Oryzias latipes: one gene and its partner. The protein of the gene in region 1 interacts with the protein of each later gene in a pairwise test. Links are inferred from orthologs where the notes say so. Each region holds a gene or a part of one and is shown on either strand. Other genes may lie near its edges. The genes, in order: cdkn2d and nr4a2.

What was found.
Region 2: the proteins of cdkn2d (region 1) and nr4a2 interact in binary tests that used the Homo sapiens proteins (3 or more experiments, as listed by UniProt). The two-hybrid records come from large-scale screens. The link is inferred for Oryzias latipes from reciprocal best matches to the Homo sapiens genes CDKN2D and NR4A2.

The regions. Positions count from the first base shown.
Region 1 is NC_019859.2:10,441,198-10,445,642, reverse strand, and holds cdkn2d (cyclin-dependent kinase 4 inhibitor D), read left to right. Parts: upstream 1-1,431; 5' UTR 1,432-1,551; coding exon 1,552-1,776; intron 1,777-3,121; coding exon 3,122-3,475; 3' UTR 3,476-4,051; downstream 4,052-4,445. Other genes in the region: ap1m2 (AP-1 complex subunit mu-2), read left to right, coding at 11-136, 298-373, 468-493. UniProt on the Homo sapiens protein: Interacts strongly with CDK4 and CDK6 and inhibits them.
Region 2 is NC_019879.2:20,515,775-20,519,245, reverse strand, and holds part of nr4a2 (nuclear receptor subfamily 4 group A member 2), read left to right. Parts: coding exon 1-199; intron 200-367; coding exon 368-546; intron 547-645; coding exon 646-902; 3' UTR 903-3,471. UniProt on the Homo sapiens protein: Transcriptional regulator which is important for the differentiation and maintenance of meso-diencephalic dopaminergic (mdDA) neurons during development.

The DNA of each region.
Region 1 (4,445 bases):
AACCATTTAGGGAGGAAAAGAGTTTCTCATGAGAGCTCACTTTGGGTTACCCAGTGTTGAAAAGGACGAGCTTGAAGGCAAACCTCCCATTACTGTTAAATTTGAAATCCCATACTTTACAGTGTCAGGAATTCAGGTATGAATGCTTCAAAGTGTTTATTATATCAGTTGCCAATTACTGTATTGTCATTAAGACTTTTAAATAGTTTTTTTTATGTCCATTGACTTGTTTTGTCTTTGCCTTCTAATCTATATGCGATAATAATGTGTCATTTAACTTTATGCATTTTTTTTCAGGTTCGGTATATGAAAATCATTGAAAAAAGTGGCTACCAGGCTTTACCCTGGGTGCGCTATATAACACAAAGTGGAGGTATACTATAATAATTACGTATATTTGATTAAAATTCAAGTATGAAGTAGACACTATCTGTGTTTTAAATTGTGTGCATTTGTTGTTGTTTTAGATTACCAGTTGAGAACAAATGCCTAAGTAAAGCCTGCAAGATGCTTTACTGCATATCTCCAGGACTTCCAGAAGAGCACAATGAATTTTACCTTTTATCTGCACCTGAAGAATTTCTTTAATTTACTTCTTTTTTGTGTGTTTTAACTGTTTTATATTAAATCTCCATGCAATTTGATTTTATTGTCACCTTTTCAGATCTTTTTAAAATTGTTGAAATAAGATTATTCCTCTGAAAACAACTTGTTTTTTGTGCACCTGTTTCTTTGTGAGTTGTTCCTTGAGGACTTTATATGCTGAATTTAGCAGCCGTGGTGTGGTTCACCACCGTGCAATCAGTGCCGGCAAATTCCGCCTAAAACGAAAGACATGAACCCGCCTTTTTTTCCACACTGTTGTGAAGAAATACAACCAAAGCGTGGAAATGTGAATGGACTGTCTTTGAAGAAACAAACGAATACGAATCGCCCGCTTTCTTCGCTTCGCGCTCTGATTGGTCAATCCCCACTGTTACCACAGTGATAACGTAGTAACAGAGTTGTAACCACGCCTCTCTTACCATTTATGGAAGTACAACGCCTATTGGGCCACCTGTGATTGGCCAGCATATCTACTCTCCAATGTTTGTAAATTGTCGGCTAGATCCACTACTGTTTGGATCTCAGCGCGCAAATGTATTTGTCAATGTTTATAAACTCTTCCATTTTGAATTGTATTTAAAAAATAACCGGACTGCGGTGTCGGCGGGCTGAAAATTCGTATCGAGGATTCGGATACTAACGTATTGACGAAGGTAGGATTAAAGAGCTCGGTTTTTACGGTTAGCTTTTAGCTTTTCTGTTAATTTTCATAACTCTCTGTCGATGTGACTTAAGTGTCGGCCAATTTTCTCAATAAAAAAAATATGGATTTGGATATTTTCTGCCGTTTGATTAGCCCAAACAACCAAGTCAAAAACAGTACGCTTACAGTCACGTAACATGGCGTCACCGTAAAAACTACAAGTTACGTTAGCCGGATGTTGTTGTTAGCTAGGTGTAGCCGACAGCAATCTTCCTGGCTTTTTCAGTCTTCCTCGTGCATTTATGTGTTTTAATGGCCCAACTGTGGTTGATTTTCATGGTGTACGGGGCGCGTGTGCTGTTGAACAGGCAAGAACGGAGTTTATAATGGTCCTCAGTCAGATGGACGCTGGCAAAGCGTTGACGGCGGCGGCAGCCAAAGGGAATACCAGCGAAGTGCAGCGGATCCTGGAGGAATGCAGGGTGCATCCTGATACCCGGAATGAGTTCGGCAGGACGGCGCTGCAGGTGAGACCTGTCACGGTAGTAAGACATTAGTCATCTGTAGGCGGTTGGTTTGCTCCTCCACTGTATTTACAGCCCGCTATAAACATAAAACTCTCAACACTTGTTTCTTATAAAATCTTCACATCAAAAAGTGAGCTAAATATTTTTTTAAACCATCGTAATATACAAGGAATTGACTCTGCGCAATAAATAAGTCGCGCATGTTGCCAAATTAGTTCAGTAATGAATAGCCGCTTCCAGGAAGTTGCGCTGTTCCTGTTTTTGATACTTTTCACAGTAAAATGTTCGACGACACTTTCTGTAATTTGCAGACTTGACTGTACCGGAAATCTGATTTAGGCAACGGGGGTATTTTTTTTTTTTTTTACATTTGAGCTGCTTTAATTACGAATAAAAACTGTAAACACAGTAACCACACAACAATTACTATTCCAATATTTAATTAACCCAACATGCAGAGATTTCAAAGTAAAATAGTGGTATTTGGGTGGGAAAAAGGTTAGAAATTGTCCATTAATATTTATTACTAAGTACTGTATTTTATTTAATATATACTATTTATTGGTATACTATGGTAAACTAGTATACTATTAAATATAAATACTATTAATACTAAATCATCAAACAAGAATTATTGTTTTATTATTTCAATCCTTCACTGTGTTATGACTCCGTATTTTTAGAATTTAAATGTATTGTTTAGATGTTTTAATGTATTTGTAAGCAGCCCAGTACTCCCTTGGAATCTTAATGGGAATATCCTGATTAAATAAAGGTCAGAAAATAAAATATATTACTATTATTGCTGATGTCTCTGGAGCATCAGTGCCAGTGGTGGAGATACTAGTTGGTGCAACTTTTTCCCTATTTCCTTCATGGTCGAGTCTGTTTATATACTTTTTTTTAATGTACACTTCTATTATTCGGTAATTTTCCATTTGTGTTTTTTATGAAAAAGAATAAGTTAAAAAAAACGTGACAGAAATATTTTTTTTCTCCCACTTTTTATTTTATTTAATTAGAAGATTGTAAAACATGTTAAGTCAGGCTACTTGACGTGATGATACTGCATTTTTATAGCACACATAAAAAAATAAATGCTTTAACAAACTGTAAGCAGAAAAAATGAAAATGTTCTTTTTCAGGTTTAGTGCAGATCTCAAAGTAAAAGCTGTATTTTATTTAGTGTATTTGTTTTTTATGACAGTTATATTTTTATTTATTTCTATCTCTTATTATGGATGGATTTTTCTTTTCAAGCAAAAGTGAAGGCGTTCTGTAAAGGAAGTTGCTGATTTGTGCATGAGGGCTAATAAATATGCATACAATATTTATTTTTGAACAGGTTATGATGATGGGGAACTCCAAAATAGCAAGCTTGTTGCTGGAGAAAGGAGCAGACGCCAACGTCCAGGACAAACACGGCATAGCGCCTGTCCACGATGCAGCGAGGACAGGGTTCCTGGACACCCTGCAGGTCCTGGTGGAGAATGGAGCTTCGGTGAACATCCCTGACCAGAACGGCGCCCTGCCCATCCACATTGCCATCTGGGAAGGCCACCGCGATGTCGTGCAGTTCCTGGCTCCGCGTTCCAACTTGAAGCACGCCAACCAGAGCGGTCAGACGGCGATAGATGTAGCCCGAGCTTCCTGTGTGCCGGATATGATGGACTCACTTTTTGCTCATATACATAGTTAGAAAAGTTTTCTTCTCACTCGTCGTCATTCTTCATTTTTTTTTGGCTTCAAACCTTGTGACTTGAACTCATTGCTGTGTAAAAGATTATTTTTTTTTGTTATTTGTAGCTCAGCATTAATATGTGACACAAGACATATTGTCTTGGCAGCTTATTTTCAGTGGATGGGTGTCTATATACTGTAGATACCTCTTTTGCACAGTGCAATTTAGGCACCTTATACTTATGCATATATCTGTTTTCCCTTTTGACTGGGAGTGCACATTTGTATAAAGTTTCCGCAGTGTTTCCTAACTATTTCTATTGTGTAAGAATTCATACACGTGTGTTTCTTTTTAAATTACAAAACTTGACATGGTGCACCCTCGTTGCTTTGCCTAGTTGTTAATCTGAATTAGATGTACTTAGACTTTCAATTGACTCTTATTTATTGTTGGACTGAACATTTCCTGTGACGTTGTAAATACAAACATATTGTGATTTGTTTAAATGTTATTTATATAAAAACTTTTACGGAAAAAAGTGAGATTATTCACTTTAATATTTGAGGAAAAACAATAAAAGTGTTGAACTTCAAAGCGAAGTGTTTGAATTTTTCTTTTTTTAACTGATACTTTAAGTGTTCATAGCAACAGGAAAGTAAATGTGAAAAAAGGGGAGATGAAGTTAAAAAAAAAAGAAAATCATGTTGTTGCCTTTATTTTTACTGATTTTGTTTTCTTTTTTTTATAAGGAACCCACCTTTTGTATTTTCTTTCCCCCCCATGGAATTGAAGAAGAGTTTAATCAAATTCTTACATTTCTGAGATAATTTTAAGTATTCTTTAATAATTAAATTGTATAGATAGACATTTACTCCTAGTCCTCCAACACCCTGGATCTAATTTTGGCCTGAAATCTAGAAGAGAGGAGGAGTTAATGGGAATAAACAAACATGGAGTTACTAAGATGTATAGCTTAATAGAAAACGTG
Region 2 (3,471 bases), on another chromosome or scaffold:
AGGCAAACCCTGACTACCAAATGACTGGAGACAACACTCAGCACATTCAGCAATTCTATGATCTCCTGACGGGCTCCATGGAGATCATCCGGGGCTGGGCAGAGAAGATTCCGGGCTTCTCTGATCTGCCGAAGCAAGATCAAGATCTCCTCTTTGAATCCGCCTTCCTGGAGCTCTTCGTCCTGCGGCTGGCATACAGGTGAGAGGAAGAAAGGGTGATATAAATCCCCACCCAAACTTTGGATAATCAGGATTTCCTCCTTTAAGCTTCATTGCTTTTGGCTTTATTAGCTGCCTAATAATTAGACGCCTCTTAAATCCATTTTTATTGCCAAGTCTAATTAAGGGATTTTAATTTTAATTGCAGGTCCAATCCAGTGGAAGGGAAACTTATTTTTTGCAATGGAGTGGTGTTACACAGACTGCAATGCGTCCGCGGGTTTGGAGAGTGGGTGGATGCAATCGTGGAGTTTTCTTCTAACTTACAGAGCTTGAATATAGACATCTCAGCTTTCTCCTGCATCGCAGCTCTAGCGATGGTAACAGGTGCGTAAAAACAGCGGCACGTAAAGGAGCTGCATGCGCTAAAAAATCTAGTAGAACATTCCTCATCATTGTTTGCTCTTTTTTTCCCTTTATTTTCAGAACGGCACGGGCTTAAGGAACCTAAGAGAGTTGAGGATCTTCAAAACAAGATAGTGAACTGCCTCAAAGATCAAGTAACGTTTAATAGCGGTGGCTTGAATCGTCCCAACTACCTATCAAAACTCCTGGGGAAGCTCCCCGAACTGCGCACGCTCTGTACCCAAGGTCTGCAGCGTATCTTTTACCTAAAGCTGGAAGACCTTGTCCCCCCACCAGCAATAATTGACAAACTTTTCCTTGACACCCTACCCTTCTGAGTTTTACGCACTAGCCAAACTTCAAAGAACTTCCAAAAAGACTGAGACAAACTTATCAGATTACAGTTTCTAATTTTTTTTTTGTCTTTTTTGCAAGCTCCGTAAGCTATTAGAACAACTTATAAGGATTTAGGCAACATCAAAAGTAACGGAAGAAACTGAGTTTTATCGCTGCAGGCCTTTTATTTTACATTTTTCTTTTTGTTCTATTTTTATTCTGTGCGAATTAGGTGGATGTTTTTTTTTTAGCAGAAATCTCTTTCAAGCCCTTCTTGTTTATTGAACGTCGGCTCTGCTGAATCACTAAGTTGTAATATATTCCATTTATATAAACAGTATATATAAAAGTACACGCACACAAACCCTGTATATTATAATGATAGAAAATGGGATGCATCCAGCGCATCGGTTTATAATCTCTGTATAAAGTTTGTTATAATGAAAAGCTTTTCTTTTTGGACTCGTGCCTATATGTGTTTCTGACAGGATCCCAAAAATCCAGATAAGACAACGCATGTTCCACTTTCTGATTTTTCTTTTTTCATTTATAGGCACTTGCTGAGGTGATGTCTATATAATATATATACCGGACACTATGTAGTCTGCTAGATTTGATACAGATTCGTAGTTATGGCACTCTTTTTCTGTATGATGCATATGTGGAAAAAAATTATTTCATCTGTATAGAAAATGAGGGACCCATGGTGTTTGTAAAACTGTCACAGACATTCCTTGTTTGTATGTGCTGTAAGTATTGTTGCTGTTGAATATAAACGTTTCTATATATTTATTATTTCTATTGCCAAAAGCTACACTAAGCATGGTGCAATTTAAACGATTCCAACCCATCCAAGTTCATGCTGAGCACGTTGTCTATGTTTTAATGTCTTATAAACGTCTAGCTAGTTATGATTTAATAGCTTTGGAAGTGGCAAAAATAATTAATATTTCATCTTTATGAAGAGCTTCATGAGTGTATGATTCAGGCCCACACCTTTGGCATCACCGTCTCATTTGTGTAACGCATTCGGTGCCCAATTCAAAAACTTTAGAGATAAAGAAATATTTAATGTTTACAAATAAAACGTTTAACTTTCAATCTCTTGCCAAATATTTTCTCTGAAAATTAATAGACTTCTTTTCCTAATTACTTTTTTTTTTAACTGGAATGCGTTTTCGACGCGCTTTTATTTACAAAACAGAAGCCATGGCCCTCCATGCAATTTTAAAATAGCCATTTTTATTTTTTGTTGTAAAAATGAAACTTTTTAATGAGATAGATAATTTTTTTACCCCATTTTGTCGTTGAGATGAATGTATTCATAAGCGCGCACATAAAACATGCACTTCTGGCCGAATGCGCCTACATTTAGCAGCTATTTCTGCACTCTAAATTACTTTTTAATACGACTGTAATTTAGAGAATAACCTGCAAGCGTTTTTGTAATCTTTCCCAATTCTCCGACTGTTTAAATCGGCACCAAAGTGACATTTTTTTAGTCTCCTCCTATCTGAAAATGTGTTTTGCCCTTTTAATCTATTTAACCAAAGTAAAGGAAATAGTCGCAACGGCCTATACAGACGTCAATTAAAAAACAATTTTATTTATAAATAAAGATGATCCTGGTTACATTATTTTGAGAGATTTTTGTTGGAGAGTAACTCAAATAAGTTGCGATCCATACAATTTTGCGCATCATGTCTGTGAATTGCTTATAGGAGAAACTTGTTTGTTTCAAAGTTGCCCCTTTCCGAGATCAAGACTGAATATTTGCACAAACAAATGCGAGGCGAACCAATCAGCTTAAATGTGAATTTTAATTGCGCAGCTTGCATTCGGTGTCAAAGCTCTCAGACTGTCGGTGGAATTACAAATTTAAGTGAACAAGTTGATGCTTCAAAAAGTTTTCTTTAAGAAGAATAAGCAAAACAAATCAGGTTTCCCCTAAACTGCAGCCTCTTGCGCCACAGCCTGCGTTTGGATGAAAACGCGAGTTTGATGATTGTAAGCCTGCGGAGTTACCGACCACTTTGCGCAAAGTCCTGCTCTGCACTTCTTTCTTCTCCTCCCTGCGCACCGGTTTAATGCGCTCCCTTTAATCTCTGCTTACTGATAACACACCTACACTTCAATCATCTTTTTAAGGCGCGTCACGACTGCATCTATCGTTGTAAGCGCAAAGGTAAAAGTCAGCGGAGATTGCCCAAACAGAATTGAGGCAGACCGCTGTCACAAAGCCTTTTCTTTAGACTGGCATAAGAGAGAAGTGACGCCAAGCTCTGAGGCATGTCTGGGATTTATCAACATTTACCACACGATCAAAATGAAGGGAACAGCATATTTTGAGAGATATTAGCAGCAGGCAATAAATTGTCTAAATGATTAGATCGTGACTAGAAAGTGCTAATTCCAAGGCAAATTGGGATTACATTCAGAACCAGTTTGCTGACATTTAGCAGATCTGTTGAAAGGGTGCAGTACAATGTCACAAGTTTCCTCTGTTGACTCTAAGTACAGTTAGGCTTCAAACATGGCTCATCACAATACGTGTAGCTGTTTTTGTTTCTG